Linked DNA regions of Yarrowia lipolytica. The protein of the gene in region 2 interacts with the protein of the main gene of each other region in a biochemical or structural test. Links are inferred from orthologs where the notes say so. Each region holds a gene or a part of one and is shown on either strand. Other genes may lie near its edges. The genes, in order: YALI1_C00772g and YALI1_F08454g.

Evidence for each region.
Region 1: the proteins of YALI1_F08454g (region 2) and YALI1_C00772g form a complex in vitro, tested with the Saccharomyces cerevisiae proteins (3 studies listed by BioGRID). The link is inferred for Yarrowia lipolytica from reciprocal best matches to the Saccharomyces cerevisiae genes RAD5 and UBC13.

Annotation. Positions count from the first base shown.
Region 1 is NC_090772.1:73,239-81,692, forward strand, and holds YALI1_C00772g (uncharacterized protein), read left to right. Parts: upstream 1-4,049; coding exon 4,050-4,502; downstream 4,503-8,454. Other genes in the region: YALI1_C00739g (uncharacterized protein), read left to right, coding at 736-2,673; YALI1_C00766g (uncharacterized protein), read right to left, coding at 3,280-3,450, 3,782-3,901; YALI1_C00784g (uncharacterized protein), read left to right, coding at 5,261-5,770; YALI1_C00826g (uncharacterized protein), read right to left, coding at 7,734-8,454. UniProt on the Saccharomyces cerevisiae protein: Has a role in the DNA error-free postreplication repair (PRR) pathway. The UBC13/MMS2 heterodimer catalyzes the synthesis of non-canonical poly-ubiquitin chains that are linked through 'Lys-63'.
Region 2 is NC_090775.1:839,785-850,817, forward strand, and holds YALI1_F08454g (uncharacterized protein), read left to right. Parts: upstream 1-5,626; coding exon 5,627-8,704; downstream 8,705-11,033. Other genes in the region: YALI1_F08431g (40S ribosomal protein eS1), read right to left, coding at 2,649-3,384, 3,554-3,585; YALI1_F08514g (uncharacterized protein), read right to left, coding at 10,702-11,033. UniProt on the Saccharomyces cerevisiae protein: Probable helicase, member of the UBC2/RAD6 epistasis group. Functions with the DNA repair protein RAD18 in error-free postreplication DNA repair.

The DNA.
Region 1 (8,454 bases), on a different chromosome or scaffold from region 2:
GCGCAGCGGAAGCGCGCAGGGCTCATAACCCTGATGTCCCCGGATCGAAACCGGGCATCGCTATTTGTTTTTTGGATTACCCAACTTACGCTGTACGTGAGTGTACATACTGCATGTGTTACTGCAGCATGCATCAAATTTTTTTTTTGGCGTCGTCTGTGTGGGCCCCAAAGTTTTCACTTGTAAGCCTCCAGTTACCCGGCACGTAACCTCACCACTATAGAATGGTAGTTAAAACTCAGGAGACTTTGGAAGTGGAGAGAGACGATTTCAGCGTTCAGGATTGAAGGGGACGTTGCCACCAACGAACACTGTCCACTAAAACACCGCTAGAGTGTTGGATCCGCCCATTGGCCATACTGTTACGGCTACATTGGAGTTGTGGCCCATCACGTGCTTTCCCAATACGGCCATAAAGCTTAAAATTGTTACATGAAGATTTTTCCCAAGGCCATTTTTTTCTGCTTTCTGCAGGTGACGTTCTACATATCCCACAACACAACCATCTTCGACAAACGACCACTCGTTGTTGACGACCTCCAAAACCCCAAAAAAAGACAGACAACAATAGATCACCCCCCGCTCGGTATCTATTAGTCTCATAAAATCCAAAAAGCAAAAAAAAATCCAACTTTCTCGCCCCCCGCGCTTTTGTGTCTCTTAACCACAAAGCCACCCTTTTTTTTCTTAGGAAGTATTCGCTTACGTTTCCTAGTTTAATTTCTGTTCTCAACAATGTCTGCTGACGCTTCTCTTGTTGCTGCCGAGAAGGCTCTCGAGAAGATGACCCTCGAGAACAAGGCCGAGGCCTCCCCTGCCACCAAGGAGGAGACCACCACTGAGGCTGCCCCCGCTGAGGGAGAGGCCAAGACTGAGTCCTCCGAGGAGAAGGGCTCCAAGGAGGACCAGGGCGACAACGCCTCCCTCTACGTCGGAGAGCTTGATCCCTCCGTTACCGAGGCCATGCTGTTTGAGATCTTCAACCCCATTGGCCCCGTTACCTCCGTCCGAGTGTGCCGAGACGCCATCACCCGACGATCTCTTGGATACGCCTACGTCAACTTCCACAACCAGGCTGACGGTATCCGAGCTCTTGAGGAGCTCAACTACTCCCCCATCAAGGAGCGACCCTGCCGAATCATGTGGTCTCAGCGAGACCCTGCTCTGCGAAAGACCGGAGCCGGCAACATCTACATCAAGAACCTGGACCCTGCCATTGACAACAAGGCTCTGCACGACACCTTCTCTGCCTTTGGCCAGATTCTGTCCTGCAAGATTGCCACCGATGAGTTTGGCAACTCTCGAGGTTTCGGATTCGTCCACTACGAGTCTGCCGAGTCTGCCGAGTCTGCCATCCAGCACGTCAACGGTATGCTTCTGAACGACAAGAAGGTCTTCGTTGGTCCCCACGTCCCCAAGTCTGATCGAATGCAGTCTTTCGAGGAGCAGAAGAACTCCTTCACCAACGTGTTCATCAAGAACCTTGGTACCGAGATCACCGAGGCTGAGTTTGAGGAGCTCGTCAACAAGTTCGGAGAGACCTCCTCTGTCCACCTCTCCACCAATGACGAGGGCAAGCCCACCGGTTTTGGTTTCGTCGACTACAAGGAGCACGACGTTGCCGTCAAGGCCATCGACGGTCTGTCCGAGACTGAGTTCAAGGGAAACAAGCTCTTCGCCGGCCGAGCCAAGAAGAAGTATGAGCGAGCCGACGAGCTCCGAAAGCAGTACGAGGCCTCTCGACTTGAGAAGCTCAACAAGTACCAGGGCGTCAACCTGTACATCAAGAACCTCGATGACACCATTGACGACGACAAGCTGCGAGCCGAGTTTGCCCCCCACGGAACCATCACCTCTGCTAAGGTCATGGTTGACGAGGCTGGTAAGTCCAAGGGCTTCGGTTTCGTCTGCTACTCCTCTCCCGAGGAGGCCACCAAGGCTGTCACTGAGATGAACCACCGACTTGTTGCCGGCAAGCCTCTGTACGTTGTCCTTGCCCAGCGAAAGGACGTCCGACGATCTCAGCTCCAGCAGCAGATCCAGGCCAAGAACCAGATGCGACTCCAGCAGCAGGCTGCCGCTGGTGGTCTCCCCGGCCAGTACATGGGCAACCCCGGTGTCTTCTACCCCGGCCAGCCCGGCTTCATGCCTCCTGGACGAGGTGGAATGCCTTTTGGTGCTAACCCCCAGATGATGATGCGACCCCCCATGCCTCCCCAGAACCAGTTCCCTCCCCGAGGTGTTCCCGGTGGCCCCAACATGTACGGCGCTCCTCCTCAGGGCTACCAGCAGGGTGGTTTCCCTCCCCAGGGCCCCATGCGAGGCGGCCAGCCTCCCCGATCCGGCCAGCCCGGTCCCCAGGGTCAGTTCCGAGGTGCTCCCCGACGAAAGGACGGTGAGTCCCGAGTTGCCGACTCCATTTCTAACGCTCTTGAGAACGCTCCTGAGGAGCAGCACAAGCAGCTCGTTGGTGAGGCTCTGTACCCCAAGGTTCTCGCTGAGAAGGCCATTGATGGTAACGCCGAGTTTGCCGGTAAGATCACCGGTATGCTGCTCGAGATGCCCATCAAGGAGATTCTCGAGGTCATTGACGACGAGGAGGGTCTCCAGGCTCAGATCAACGACGCCATCACCGCCTACAACGAGTACCTCAACTCTCAGAAGGAGGAGTAATTGTGTAATAAAATGTGTGGATTATGTGATAAGGATAAGCCAAGTAGTGAGCCAAAACCCGAGCAGTACCACTTGCATAGCAGTGAGTATGTACTTGTAGATGAATTATAGAGAGTCATGATTGAGGCCATTGGTAATTGGTTTGTAACTAACGTTGTTGTTGGTCAATTGGAAATATGTTACCACCAATGGATTCACAGTGCGCATGTTGCAATACTAAAGTGGTCTGGGAATTGCGATACAGTTGATTCTGGGAGTGTTCAACGACGACAAAGGTGCTGCGATATAGTGTGCATACGTATGTATAGTATTGTAGTCGCAGCAGTATTCTCAATATCACTAATCTCAACTAAAGATTTCAACGGGGGAAATGGTGCAATTCTCTCAAATCACGAATATATCCCTGTTCGACACCAAGACCAAATCAACATGGGCTTTGGGTGTAGAGTAGATCATGAAAGACGGTGTACATAAGGCAGTCGTCCAATACTGTACTAGTACAATGGCTCATCAAAGGACTATCGAGTCGGAAACTCATATCATAAATTAATATATACATCTGTTGTGAAAGCGGTTGTGGTCATTTCTTCCTGTCGCTCAAGGTGGTCACTTCTTTTCATCGGACTGAACGAGGAACGAAGTAATACTATCTGCCTCTTGCTGCCGGATCTCTTCGGCTCGCTCCTGTATGAGCTGTTTCTTTGATTTAAGAGGAGTGGCATCCACAAACTTGATCGAAAAGCCCTTGGGTTTCTCCTCGGGTTCAATTTTCTCCACCTGGGTTAGTTGATACTGAGAGTGGTAAGCGTAAAGCTAGCATGACGACCAGGATAGGTTTCCAAAGGTCAATCCCACGAGAACAAATGAACTCCATGAGCTGATTCACCAACTTTCGCTGCAACAACTGTCTGTGTTGCCACACTGGGGTCAAGGCTTCGGTCGTCTCCTTACCACTACAATCGGAAAGTAATGTCCAGAAGTTCTGTCTAGCATCCCTTGATTTTCTTGGAGTCTTGATTTTTCTTGGAAGTCCTTGATCTGCCGCAGAAAGTCCTTGGTCATTAGCTCTCGGGCTGCGCCCTCAGCTACCTCCTACTGTCATACTCACCAGAACATAATTCTTGTTCATAAGCCACACTCCCCAGACGGCCCCGAAAGTGAGTCCTATCGACAGAGCAACGAATCTGCTGTTGAAAGTGGCGCCTGTTTTTGGGATCTTGGTGATCATTGTGGTTGTGCGGGATAGTGTCTACTTTTTTTCGCCTCGCCTGTGGCTTGCATTTCATATCGTATAGTAGGGTTAGGGCTGTCTCTCCCAATATCACGGTTATCTCAACCACTGTGCGTACATTGTTAGCATCTTCAATACACCCCCAATGAACGCCCTTCCCAAGAGAATCAGCAAGGAGACCGAGCGGCTCGTCAAGGAGCCCGTGCCGGGAATCTCCGCTGCACCCCACGACGACAACCTGCGGTACTTCGACGTCACTATCGACGGGCCTACCTCTTCCCCCTACGAGGGCGGTACTTTCAAGCTGGAGCTCTTTCTGCCCGAAGACTACCCCATGGTGCCCCCCAAGGTGCGATTTCTGACCAAAATCTACCACCCCAACATTGATCGACTTGGCCGAATCTGTCTGGACGTGCTCAAGTCCAACTGGTCGCCTGCTTTGCAGATCCGAACCATTCTGCTGTCCATCCAGGCGCTGCTTGGAGCTCCCAATCCTGACGACCCGCTCGCCAATGACGTGGCACAAAAGTGGAAGGAGGACGAGAAGACTGCTATTCAGACTGCCCGGGACTGGACCAAGGAGTACGCCAAGGCGTAGAGATTAGAGTAATTTATTGAGCATGCCCCCACCAAACAGAGGTCGTAAAACGGAGGTTGGACATTGTACCCCTTGAAGGTTGCAGGGTTTCTGATGGAGCCGGAGCTGTTAGGCCAAATGGAAGCCGCAGACTGCAAGTTGGAGATGGCCTTGTGTTTTGCTGCTGTAGAAGTGGAAGTTGCCCCTCAAGCCTCAAGCACTTACTGTACTGGTCATTAGCCGATTGACTCTCAGCTTAGTTAAGCGACAGCACGATATTTTTAGTAGGGGTGGCTTCTGTTATAGTGCGATGGTCTCAGATGAGGTCTCATGCAGTAGAGATTGAGTGAACCAAGAAGGTAGATCAGAACTCACAAGCTACTGGGGTTCATTCAAAAGCTATTGTATCGTAAAACAGATAGCTGCAATGGATTCTGCAGGCATGAGTTGGTACATTAATGTTTTCAAATCTTGTAAACATCTCTCTCAGGGCTTACTGCGTTGGGCTCTCATGCTCCCTTCCGCTGTCCCGCCGAATACTGGACATATCGGGCCAGTATAATACACATGTGGGAAGATGTCATATACTTGTAACACTCAGCTACAATGTTGTACAGTACAACGGATGCCACATCTGATATCAGTAATATACTGCTATCGATAGAGGTTCAATTCCATCCCACAGATATCATCCCGCTCAGCTCCATCAGTCTGCACCAAGATGGCCCTCTCGCGTGTGCGAAAGTTGTACCTGAAGATCCCCTACTACCGTCTTGAATATGGTCAGTGGATCTCATGGCAGGAGTACACCAATTCGATTTCGAATCGGAGTCCCTTCTACCACCGTTTGGTCACGCCCAGCCCGCCTGAACGTGCGGAGGAGCCATTACCGAAAGATTTTAGAGCTCTACAGGGAAAAAACACAGCGGGAGTTGAAGGAGTGGAACTTTCACGACCTCGGCCCGACTAATGGCAACAAGGCCCTTGGTCAGACAGAGAATGGTGGCTGTAAAACTGCAGATTCTACTCTTGCCTCACAGGTATACAGAGCTTACCCTTTCAGACTCCAGCGAAAAACAGATATCCGGGCAAGCCTGTATGGCAACAAGGGTTCCAACATCGATGAAGAAGAAGAAACTTGTCTTTTCATTCAGTACAATGATGACACAAGTCAAGAACACTTCTTAGAATCGCTGAACGCACCCTGTAACTCCCTTCTGCTTGTAGCAGACAGTAGGACATTTTCACAAGGCGATGCGGGGATATTTTCGATACCTATCGTGTTCTAAGAGGTGGACAGGCCCTGCTTATTGGCACGAGTCGTCCTCTCCAAACAGCAGACTGTTGTTCCTTCTTGAACATCCAGGTGGTTTGACATGAGTCGGAAGTCAGGGACTCAGAGTTGCCCGCATTGAAGCCCTTCATCCCTGAAGATGACTGGTACCCTCGATACGGTCTATCTTACCATTATGATGATTTTCTTATATATGTGGTAGATGTTCAAACCAGACGAGTTCATGATGTGATGGAGAGAGATAAAGTGGTTCATGTACTTGTAGGTGTTTCAGACGGACAATTGGATATATTGCAATATGGAAATACGCAAGGGAGTATCTCGCGAAGAAGCGCCAGGAGCAGAATGTGACAATGATGGAAAGCCTGATAGAGAATTTATTGGAGTACCCAGACATAGTAGATGCGTGCAAGGGAGAAGCTATAAGGTGGTCTGCTATGCAGCGAGGTCATTGAGTGAAGAGATCTGATTCTTGACGTGGTGGTGGAACCAACAAGATCTTAACGATGCGCTGACTAATTATACAATCATGTGGTCTTGGCTTCAATGCTTGTTCCTAATGGCAATACTGTAAATATCCCACTGTGTTGCTGTATTCAATCAATTACTAATGACTAACTGTTTACTTGCAGAGGTCCATGATGGTGTTGACAACATCAGAGTCGTTCTTCTTAAGACCGTTGATGGCCTTGTTTCGGGAAACGTTGGCCTGCTCCATAACAAGCTTGATGTCGGAGTCCTCAAGGCCGGTGGCATCAGCCTCGGCCTCGTCCTCGGCATCCTCGTCCTTGGACAGAGAAGCAGCCTCGAGGTCAGCGGTGATGGAAGCGGGATCCTTGGAGGCAAGCTCAGCGCCAACCTCACCGGCGGCAGCAGCCTCGGAGACGGAGCCGGTCTCGGCAGCAGCCTGCTGGGCCTGGGCAGCGGCGATCTGGGCAGCTCGGGCGGTGGCCTGCATGTCCTCGTGCTGGGCCTCACCGAAGACAACGTAGGAGTTGCCGGTGGGGGTCTTGTAGACCTCGGGGTTGGCGATCACGAAGATGTGCTGTCGGGTTCGCTTGAGGACAACTCGGGTGATACCCTCAACCTTCTGGAGGTTGAGCTTGGAGATGAGGGCTCGGGCGGCCTTCTCCTCCTTCTTGATGACGATGGTGGAGTTCTCCTCGATCTGGGGGACCTGGTCCTCGGTAATTTCCTCAATCTTGTTCTCGGCAGACACTGTGTTAGCGAACGAATTAGCGAGCTATGGTGTAGCCACGGGAAGCAAGCGATCTGAACAAGCCATGATCTGTCGATATCTCGTCGTTTTCTGCTCAATTGCGGTTTTCTGCGTTGTTTGTACTCACTTTTTAATATGGTGATGTGTATATGTTGTGTCGGGAGTGAAATTTTCACCACAAGCGGAGTGGGGTGTACATTTGAGCATGGTTACCCGGCAAGGGTTAGGGTCTGCGGTGCGTACCTGAATCCTAAATGTGTGGAGTTGCGAGGAAATCAAAGGAGGGATGATGAGAGGAGGAAAAGATGGATATATATCATGCCGAGGGAATAAGACATACAAAGACAGAGATGGAAATTGGACATTAGAATGGGGAGAAGGTGATAGGTGCGGTGTCCATTTCAAGTTACAAGTACAGGACTGTACTTGTAGTGAGTCTGACTGTACATGCACTGTAAATTGCATAAAGCTCTGTCAGACATTACTTGGATACTTTGCATAATTAGTTGGAATTAGTTGAAGGTGGAATTACGCTGAGGGTTACTTGTCAGTTGTTTCAGTGACTCAAACCACACAAAAAGATTGTGAGATTATTAAGAGACAGCTATTTTATGAGTATGTTTTTTTTCGACACTTGCTGTAGACCTGATATTGAGATAATATCTATCTCGTTGTCATGTAAATTTTACAGAGGCTTGCTCACAAAATTACTTAATACATTACTATACTCAAATACTATTTAACTTGCCTTCCCATCCGACATCTCGGCATCAGACACCTTCTCCAACACCTTGTCAGCCTGACTAGTGGCCTCGCTCTCAATCTTATCAGCATCCAACACTTCCATAATCTGGCCCTCCAAAACAATGCCATTCTTGTAGCAAATTCGTTTCTCGTCTCTCTTGTAAAAGTACAGAATGACCATAGCTCCGATTGCGCAGCAGGCAGCACAAGCAGCACAGGTCCCGAAACCCTTGGTGAACCGAGGAGACTCGACTGTGGGAAACACCAACACTGAGACCCAGGCCGAAGAAGACTGACCAATCATGTTCATGCAAATGACCACAATGGCATACTCCTGAGGATCGTGTCTCATAATGTCACTGACCCAGCCGAATAAAACTGGACTCATGGACCAGGACATGTACTGGAGACAAAAGGCGAACCATTTGGCGGACTCCGTGACATCCCAGATGGCGAGAATCACACACCCTATGAAGTTGAACACCTGGGTTATGACTATAGCCCCCCATCGGCACTTGAACATGTCTGCAAAGACGGAAGCGGAGTAAACATAGACGAAACCGAGACCCGGAGCCACGGAAGACAACTGGTTGATTTTCTGGTTAGTATAGCGTTGGTTCCCGTCACTGTCTGTCAAACTCTTGAGCCACAGAAGGAAAGACCCCGAGTTGCCGCTGTTGTTGTTGTAGAAAACGGATGTGATGAGAATCATAGTG
Region 2 (11,033 bases):
TGGGCTCACGTGATGTCCCATATTTGCTCCCAAAATGAAAGCAGACCAAATGAAAACGGCCCAAATTGCCAAAACGGCCAAAATCGCACCATACCTACTTGTATACACATGCGCACATGTTCCGATACAATGGAGCAGGAATAAATGGAGCGGTGGGATTCGAAAAAGGCGTGGTGAGCCACCTGATCAGAGCGAGCGCCCGAACGCCTCCATACCGTAACTCACGTGGTCGACCCTTGCCAGGCTAAAAAAGCACTATCCCACTTGTACTCGTAGTCTCATGACTGGATCCACTATAGACAATAGCAACCTACAGTTATGGTACCAACTACGGCCCTGCACTTGTAGCTGAGGTTGCTCCTTTTGGAAGGGCCGATCTCCGAAACCGACTCCGAAACCGACTCCGAAACCGACTGCAACGCCCAGAAGACCGCAACTGGTACCCGTACAGCCGTGCTGAAAAGGGTTCTTGGACAGAAGAACGAAAAGAAAAAAAACCAACTTTGCTGGCGGCTGATGAACGGTTTGGGCGGCGATTGGTTGCCGTCAGATTGCTCAGCACGAGAGCTGTATGCAGGATTTCATGATATCTGCGCGCGGCGACGCATGAAATTTATCCTGACGCCAACCGCGGGACCAGTTCGTCTTGATGACTGCTATATTTGGTACAGCTCTTGTGTCCCGTTAGTGCATCTTTGGCCCCCTGAAAATTCTTAATTCGGTTAAAATCTGAGCAAAAATGGAATAAATCTTTTTGGGGCTTTTTTTTTTGTTTTTTGGGAAATCTTTTTCAGCGTCACAACAGAGCAGAGACGAAGGTCAAGCTGGACGGGTGGGAAAATGAAATGATGTGGAATGGACGAGGAGTATAACGTCAAAATGACACGTCTAAAAACGTTGCCAAGAACATAGATTAGGCACGATAAGGTCGATCGCGGTCATGTGACATACCATATCGACGGCGAAGATGTGGTCGAGTCCCTCACATCCCGCTGGCTACAAGTAAGGTCCGTCGCGCGCGTCTCATCACACTCAGGCTTTATGTCTATCGACTCCAGAGTTGGAGGATCTAGTGGAAGAATCGAACCCACAACGTGTCCCAAAAAGCTTGTTGGGTGGCGACGTGTTAGTTGGCTTTTCTGATTATTAGTTGACTTGTTTGGGTAGATGAAGCTGGTTAGTTGAGAAAAGGGCGGAATATCGCTATTTCCGACGTGGAAAGAGTATATTAATGCTCGGTAATACCATCCGGGGAGTTCTTCTGCTTGTCATAACTCTTCTGAGCGCTTCAGAATGGTACGTTATTCCCACTCAAGATCACCCCATACATAATATATAAACATACGCCCCAAGTCTCACTCAAAAATCCGTATGGGCCCGACTGCGAAAAGCGCTCTAATATCGACTAGGGTCGGATGTTGAAAACGGAGGGTAAAATATGAGACGGGATTGTGTGTATTTACAGCTCGTTTGAAGAGCACGTGATTGTCGTAGGGGGAAGTGGTTGCAGTTTGGAAAAGCCGCTACTCTATTACACTTCGTTCGGGGCAATATAGTCGGAAACTAGTTGAAGAGAAAAGTGACTGGGGATTCAAAAGTGGTGTTCCCGAAACGCTACAAAGGTTGATTTTTTTACCAAATAATAGAGGTCTGTTTTGGTCCAGAAAATATAAGCAAATAGATTCCCTTCCTTAACAATATCTCTGGATTTATTTGGTTTTTGTAACTTCCTATGTGTATAAGTTTAGTTGGATTGTTAGTTGAACAAGCGCCGAACGAGGAACACAACATGGTAAAACGGTCAATAGTTGCTAGATGTAGATCGGGGGACTTTCAAAACGTAGTTGGAACGCAATGAAGTACGGTGATCAATTGTTTTGTGGAGTCAGCACACACACGGGCGATCCCAGATAGCTTCCTTTTGGATAGCAATGCATATGGGGTTTCTTTGGGATCTTATCGGTACCAAACATGCTCTTCAGAGTAGGAAAAGTAATATCGACTCCTTTCAACACTATTATAGCTCTCCACTTTACAGCGACCATCGCTGAGAGAACCCAGTGTTTTTGGTACTACTTTTAGTGTCTGTGAGGAAGGCTACGAGTACTGTATATACGATCGATACAGGAGACTCTCAGAGTCCCAGGGTCGCCAGAGCAGTATTTGAAGACGTTTCAGAAGTGTTCTATTCGAATTTTATTCGGAATGTCTTGAATCACCGAGCCGTTTCTTAGACATAGCGTGACCAGAGTGCCTTATAGGTTGTATACCCTTCGGCTACAAATGGCGGGGAGTGGTTCTAGAAGATAAGGAGTCCATGAATATGTCTCTAGAAGTTTACTGGCTCTAATGGCACTAATGAGTAGCTACGATACCAACTTAACGGTTACTAATGTGTTCAGTATTGAATAACCTATTGTACACTGTACTTGTATGATACAGCGGGCATTATGACTGTGCCCTATCACCAGCGTCCTCGTGTGATTGGTCTGTTCGTTGCGTGCAGGATATGATGTCTTTTCATGAACTACTCGTACTTGTAGATCTGCTCGGAACAATCAAGCAGTCTTATAAGGTAACCGGCCATGGCTTCGCTCATGGCTGTTTGATCGGTACAATGAATATTTTATTTTACATGCTTTTACACATTAAACAGACTCAAGAACGACATCCTTGAACTCCCGGTTGACCTTCTTTCCGTTGTCGTCGGTGGCACCTCCGTGAAGAGCGAGCAGAGCTCCGAGGTCGAACTTGGGCTGCTTGAGCAGCTTGACCTTTCGGATGTAGACGTTCTGCAGAGGGTAGATGTTCTGAGTGGCCTTCTCAATCTCTCGGCCAATAACCTCGGGGATGAGCTTGGCGGTGAGCTGAGCAAGAGTCACGTTGGAAGCCTCTCGGACAACAATGTCGGTCATCTTCTTTCGGATCTGGTTGATCTGAGAGGTCTGGGCGTAGGTGGTCTTCTTGACCTGGTTGGCCTGTCGCTTGGTGAAACCGATGACGAAGAGTCGGAGGAAGTAGTCGTCGGAGGTCTTGACGGTGACGTTAGCCTCAATCAGAGTCTGCCACTTTCGGACGAGAGATCGCAGCTTGTCGGAAGTGAAGTCAAAGCCGTGGAAGTTGGTGAGCAGGTTCTTGCCCTGGACCTCGTCAACTCGCAGCTTGACCTTCTTGAAGGAGTGGTCCTCCTGGCCCTGCAGATCAGCAAGGGACACCTCGAGCACTCGGCCCTTGAGGTAGTCGTTGGCGAGTCGCAGACCGGTGGATCGGTTCACGAGGGTCTTGCCGACGTCTCGGTTCTCAAAGGTGGAGGGAGCCTTGATGTTGTACCAGTCCTTCTTGGTGAAGGGGTCGACAACTCGCTTCTTGATACCCTTCTTTCCCCTGCGTTAGTACTGGAGGTTGGAGGTTGGAAGTTGGTAGTGGGTCTTAAGTCAATGTCCACGTCGTCCGAGTTGTCCAGTCGCCATCACTCGACATCTACCCTATGTCCACATCTCTCGACATCTACCCCAATCGAATCGATTCTCGTCATGCCCGCTGTAATACTCACTTAGAGAGTCGCTTGTTCTTTCCCTGAGCCATGGTGTTTAATCACGTCTTAATGTCGAACGGTGTTGAAGAAAGATGAAATAAGTATGAAGGGTTTTTTCATACACGCTTTTCGAATTAGGGTTTCTTGGGAGTTACCAACCCCCAAGAGTGTTTGGGTGCGGTACGCAGTGGGAAAACGCAGTCACATCACGTGATGTCCGAATGGGACCCAACCCCGGCGTGACGTTGGGACTACTCCCGGCGGATATTCTGGCACGCAAACTTCTCAGCCCGTTGGTCACATGATTATGATGTCATACTTGCCAAATTGATGAGACGCTGTCAACCCAGCGAGTGGAATAAGGTGGAATGAATTTAGGTCATTTGGTACCAGTGCAATTACAGTGGGGGGAAAAAAGAGTATTATAGGGTAGGATTTTGGGACATATTTTGGGGCGTAAATGGGGAATAAAATGGGAGTAAAAATGACATAAAAAAATAAGATAAAGTTGCATGTTAAAAATTAAAAAAAAAATTAAAAAATTAAAAAATTAGAACAATGTCATAATTGACCCAGAGAAGAAATATTGGGGTTTCTGATCAGTTTGATTAACTCTGACGGCTGTAAATCACCATCATAATTGGCCTACTTGTTTGTACAAATACGACTGCGGTACCATACCAGCTCATCTCGTCATAGTTCTGATGCATATGTGGGGAAGAGATGAGGGAGAAAGAGTTGCCCGTTTGTGATTTCAGATGGATTTGCTGTTGTTGGTTTTTCGTGGTGTATCTCGCCATTACGTGACTTGACTTTGCTCTGATATTACCCTTTCTGATTACAATGGTCGGTCTACATGGCGATACGAGTACGAGTACGAGTACATACTACGACTCACTCGAACCAGCAGCACCCTGCAAGAAGCACGTGGTTTGAACTCTTTCTAAAGATACGAGGACATCTTGAAAAATGTTTTGCAGACAACTGGAATGGCGGGTCACGTGGTTTGGAGCCGTTTCCTTTACCAATGATGTCTTCTAGTCTCTGTTGGCACCAGTGTACAAGTACTCGTACCACAATTATGTCCAGCATAGCTCCATATCTGGACTGAGAAGTTTCATGAAGAGTCCAAGAAGCTGATCCCATTAGATTGCCCGGTTGAAAAATCAGGTTTTTCAAGCTTCTTTTGGTCTTGAAGTAATCGAGTTAGAAAAAGAAGTACTGGTGTGGATAGTAAAGGGAAAGACTGGAAGTACTCGTCTCCCACTACTGCTACGGAGTATCTGACTTGTAGTCTAGGTCAGAGTACAAACTTCATGGCTTCACGGAGTTGAGAGAGTTATTTTGGAGCGAGATATATACTCATCTGTCATTCACAACTGTTAGTACTAACTGTTGTTTCAAGTTTTCCAAGTTCTACAGTAGAAGACAAGTTCTATTGGTATCGTCGTTCTGGAGTTGTCTGTTGTAGCTGGAACGTGGATTGTTAGAGATTCAAGTAAGGTAGAATATTTTTAGATATGTGGTTTCGACAGACTGTGTATTGAAAGATTTTCTTTACAAATCTCATATCGGAGTCTCTATCTGGATATGTTTCATGAGATGGGCAATCAGTGCACATGCGAAGATACTACTGCGAGATTGTCTTAAATATTCATGATGTGGTGATTGAAAACTGTTGGTTATATCATTGTAGCTCCAAGCAATAATGTCAGCCATTTTTTCCAGTACTTTGGTCGTTTTTATGCGTACCATCAATCAACGACCAATTCGACAGAAAATACTATCATTTAGATATTTATCTTTTTTCACAATTTATTTTTATTTGCATCACTACACCTGCACCTCTGAACCTAATCACAAAAGCCATGCTAACCAGACCCACTATAAGACCTTGTATTTAGTCCAAATTCGCCCCTAAAACTTCTCAGAATATACCTTTGAGTTAGTACAATCATTCTATTGGAAATTTCTGTTCTCATCGGCTCCGCTGCTCTTTTCACAGCCATTTTCCGACCCCCACTTTGCTCCCATGCACGCCACCCAAATTAAAACACGTCTGACGCGTCTCCAATCCCACACCACTTCAAAATGGAACCCAGGCAAAAAAAAGCCCGGTTTTTCGACTCTGAGGAGGACTTTGGCCCGGACACAAAGTCGCTGATTCGCCCCGGAAGCTCACACAAGCCTGGCAAGCCTGCCAGCAACTCTCTGGCTCGACCCACGCCTGCTCCATCGACTTTTCGATCTGATCTCGAGGCGTTTCTGGGGCCTCTTTCGGACCAACGGTTCGGTTTGTTGCTTGCAAAGAGCAAGGGAAATGTCGAACAGGCAGTCAATATCCATTTTGATCTGCCAGAGGAGGTGCAACAAGCGACATCGGAGGAGACGGCGGAAGAGGCGGAAGTGTCTCAAACGACCACCAGCGGCTTTGAGACGACACAAAAGCCCTCCCAAAACACACAGGTGCCTTCTAGAGTCCACACAAGAGGTGGTTGTTCGACTAGTCGTTTCATTGGTTCACTAGTGGTCACGGCATGGGCTTCTAAGTCTTCCAAGGGCAAAGTCAAGTACCAAGACAGACTCGTGGTGGAGCGCCAGTCCCACGACCATTCGAAATCGATCCGGAAGAATCCCACCGACAACTCGCATGTGCACATTCGCACTGTGTCTGGAGAACTTCTGGGGCGCATTTCTGGCGAGCACGACTACTCCATAGCATCTCTGATTGACAGTCGGGTGTGCGACTTTGAGGCGTCGTGTGTTTACGCTGACCACAATCTGAGTCTGGGCTCGAATTTCGTCGTTGAACTGAAATGCTACCTCACCGAAGAAGCGTTCCAGGACGTGGCTATGCCGTTGCTTGACAGCAAGACGGCCAAGAAACGGGAGTATGTGTTTGACAACTCGCGGGAGAGTCACGTGGAGAAGATGCTGCGCAACCGCCAAATCGCCATTGTCGATCTCTTCGGCAAGCTCAATCTTATCAAAGAAAATGAAGCCAACGCAGATATGGTCAAGGACATGCTGAGGGCCAAAAGCCAGCCGCCCTCCAGTCAACCGCCCTCTCAGAACTCAGAGGACGAAAGTGAACCTATTCCCACCGACGAGCTGGATGCCCTTTACAAACGAATCGAAAAGGAGGACGTGGAACAGCCAGAAACAGAGGTGGAGGGGTTCCCTCTAGAGTTGAGAAGATACCAGAAACAGGGATTGACGTGGATGATATCAAGGGAGACGGAGGTGAGCGAGTATTTTGACAATGACGACTCCGGACCTATAAACCCATTATGGACGAAAGTGGACTTTCCGGGAAGTGACGAAAAGTTCTATGTGAACTTTTCATCCGGTGCTCTGACTCTCAAGTTCCCTAAACAAGAAAGGTCCTTCTCAGGAGGCATTCTGGCCGACGAAATGGGTCTAGGAAAGACTATCTCGACGCTTGCCATGGTATACAGAGACCGGCACGTGGGATGCACGTTGGTGGTGGCCCCCATGTCGTTGCTATGGCAGTGGGAACAAGAATGTGAACGAGTTGGTCTGTCGACTTATGTATACCATGAAAAGGGAGCCGATATTGATTTGGATGAGTTGTTCAAAACGTACAGCCCTAACATTCTGATCACGTCATATCACACCCTGGTGTCTCACTATGGTCAGATCAAAGCTCTAGGAGGAGGGCTGGATCGCAACGTCATTTCTGAAACCAGTTCGCATGAGAGACCAAAGATTTTCACCAAGCATTTCCACCGAATCGTGCTAGATGAGGCACACGTGATCAAAAACAGAAATACCGTCTCGGCAAAGGCATGCTGTCTTTTGAGGGCTACCAACAAGTGGGCTCTGACCGGTACTCCTATTCACAACCGTCTGGAGGACCTCTTTTCGATTCTGAAGTTCCTGGGAGCAGCTCCATGGAACGATTTCATCTACTGGCGCAATTTCATCACTCTGCCGTTCCAGGAGGGTAAAATTGTCTCTGCTCTAATGACTGTTCAGTGCATTTTGGAGCCCATAGTGTTGAGACGAACCAAGAACATGAAACAGGCTGATGGAAGTCCTCTGGTAGTGTTACCCAAGAAGACGATCAACATTGAGAAGGTGGCATTGACCGACCAGGAGAGAGTCATCTACAGCTATGTTCTTGCACGAGCTCAGACGTCTCTTCAAAAGTCTGAAGCATCTGAGGCTGTGGGACGCAACTATCTGAACATTTTGACCCAGATTTTACGTCTTAGACAGTCGTGCTGTGATCCAGCGTTGATTTTGCGCCCGGAAGCCGAAGTGCCCACCGACGAGCAGCTTCAGATTGAAGAAAACGAGTCTCAACTCAAGAGCATGATTCAACAATATAATGACGATACTCAGACATCCGCCTGCGAGTATTCGTCTGAGATTATCGCGCAATTACAGGACCAATCGGCTCCTCCAGAGTGTCCCATCTGTGCTGAAGACGTGACCAAGCTGGCCATCTCAAAATGTCTACATATGGGATGTGTGGACTGTCTGGCTGACAATGTTCGGTTCCAGGAGAGCAAGAAGCAGACGCCGGTATGCTGTATATGTCGTCAGCCTGCCGCTCTGAAAGATATATTCGAAGTAGAGAGAACAGGGGAAGATTGCAAGGATATCCGCTTGAAGAAGTTATCTGACAGACCACGCTCTTCCAAGCTCGTTGCTCTGGTTTCCAAGCTCAAGCAGCTCCCTAAAGACGCCAAATCCGTCGTCTTTTCGCAGTTCACAAGCTACCTAGACATCATCCAGACTGAACTGCGTCGTGAAAAGATCCAGGCTTTCAGATTTGATGGTACCTTGTCCAGACAGCAGAGGACCGACGTTCTCAAGGCGTTCGGACTTTCCAAGGGCTCGGTGCTTCTGATCTCGCTCAAAACTGGAGGGGTGGGTCTGAATCTGGTCACTGCCAACCATGCCTTTATCATGGACCCCTGGTGGACGTTTGCACAGGAGGCTCAGGCCATTGACCGAATCCATCGAATGGGACAGACGAAAGACGTGCACGTGACTCGGTTCATTGTGGAGAACTCTGTCGAGGAGAAGATGTTGAAGATCCAGCAACAGAAGATGGTTTTGGCGGGTACGTTGGGTATGTCTGAGCAGGAACAGAAGGCTCAGAGAATCGAGAACATTAAGACTCTGTTGGGGGAGTAATGGAGTACCCCACGTACAGAATGGTGATGATGATGGTGATTGTTACGGTGATGGTGACGGTGATGATGGTAATGGTACCGAGTTGCCGGAGATGTGGAGATGTACATACTAATGTGATTTATAGATTGATCGAAACGTGAAGTTTTGTTCTCAGTTGCAATCAATGGCTGTTCATGTTGATGTCTGTGACTCAATAGTCGGGAAACCCCTGGACATACTGTATCTGAATGTACAGTATAAAGTGAGCAATTCCGACATCCTGACGGAGTGGTCTAATAAAAACATATTGATGGACTATTTTACATCAGATGAACAAATCTTCTCACACAAACTAGTCGTGAAAGACCCACCTTAGGTCATAACCGGAGCTTGTGCACCTGGCTAGAAGAGTATCGAGAACATACGCCACTAATGCACAAAAAGAACTCCATTTGTTTCTGAGTGGTATTATACAACAATCACAGGTCCGTAGAATATCGATGATGAGATTTGTTCAGCATTTTCAGTGTTAATAAGTGTACTGTATGTACAGTATGTACATAGTCGTCTACACCGACAGTCTGGAAGAGTGTTCAGGACGTAGTTCGAGTCCACAGAGTGGACTAAATACGTGCTCCAAGAGCATTTCGCTCCATATCTGTTTTGTCGCAACTTATGAAATGCAGAGGTGCTATGAAACAGGCCATAGAAACTCTTGTTGGAAAGGTATTGTCGTTTAGTTGAGAAATACTTTTGACAAAGTATACGAACTTGTTCGGGGGTTCGTTTCAGGTGTTTCTGAAAAGGAGGTAGTCTTCAGCATATTTTGAGAGAAGACATCGGATTTTTTATATATTATGTAATTGAAATAAAAATCCCCATGGCAGTAACTAATTTATCTCTGATTTTTTTTTTTTCTGTTCATATCATTCATTTTAATTATATACTTTTGCTGTTGAAAGAATAACCTTTGAAATGAATGTAACGCTTACACGAAATATTACTAATTAAACCACGGTTTAGTGTCATGGTGCCAAACTTGGCAACGTACCCTATTTCCAGTAAAAAAATCATAAAAAAACCTGGTTCAGGTCCGGTGTTGTATGTTGGTCCCACATAGCTTCGCATGTTTGTTATTCTCCACATTTTTGTATAAGACCGTTCCAGTATGTACAGTGTACATACTTGTCCATGTTAGTTGGGGTTTTTAGTTACAGTTACCAAGTAGGTTGGGGAGTATTTTGGGAGTATTTCCAAAATATATATTGCTTGTAGTTCCAAAATATATATTGCTTGTTAGTTATAAAAATATATATGCTTGTAGTTATAAAAATATAGATATAAAAACAGAGCACTCTAAACCGATGCCGCTAGCCCAGGATTCAGAAATCACGCCCAATGCACTCCCCACAAATGCAACCGCTAGATACACCGATGACCGAATTAATTGATACACAGTTGTGTCGGAAAATATCTCAAAAAAGACCCCTGGTCTAGCGACAGTAATGATCATCTCTCCGTCCGGGATAAACCCCAATTTTGAGTATAAGGCACCAACCAACTTTGCCCTTGGTAAGGTGATATTAAAGGTTACTGTCCATTGAGTGTGGAAAAGTACCTCATTGGAGCGGGATCATGTCATATCGGCCAGTATCCATTGGATCGGATCATCATGTATGCCCACACTATCACCATGTCAATTGAAGAGTCATTGTGGGCCAATTGACTTGTTTCTACAGAGTCAATTGAGTGCCCTATCATGATCTATACTACAGTCACGAGTACCAGTTCCTAGTGCTAGTACAGTATGTGCACTCAATTGTCATATCTACAGCCATACTCACTCAATTGAGTCACCAGGAGTGACCTACAAGTAAATACAAGTCATAGCCTACCATACTACAGTGTCTACTCCCACTCCACGGGAGGTCGGTCTAATTCTGAATCTGTTTCAAGTCATAATCTACAAGTACTTCCTGATACTTCTGGGCCTATTGAGCTTCTCTCAATCGACGTGTCTACTTCTGAACCTGCTCATCGGCCCAAGACTCCTTCTCGACATAATCGTCAGACTCCTTGTCGAGCTTTTTCTCCTTGGCGAGTCGCTTCTCGGCCTCAGCATCTCGCTCGGCCTTGGGCTCCACGTCCTGTGCACCCTTCTCGGGCTTGTGTTCCTCAGGAGAGTGTTCCTTGGCAGGCACGGTTTCCGAGGTCTTCTCGGATACTCCATGGGGAGCGTCCTGGAATTTCTCGCCCTCGGGCTTGCTGGGGGGTCCTCCGTCGGTCTTCTTGCCCTTGAGTCTGTCGTCGTCAATGAGATCCTGGTCTCGCAGCTCCTTGATGCCCTCCT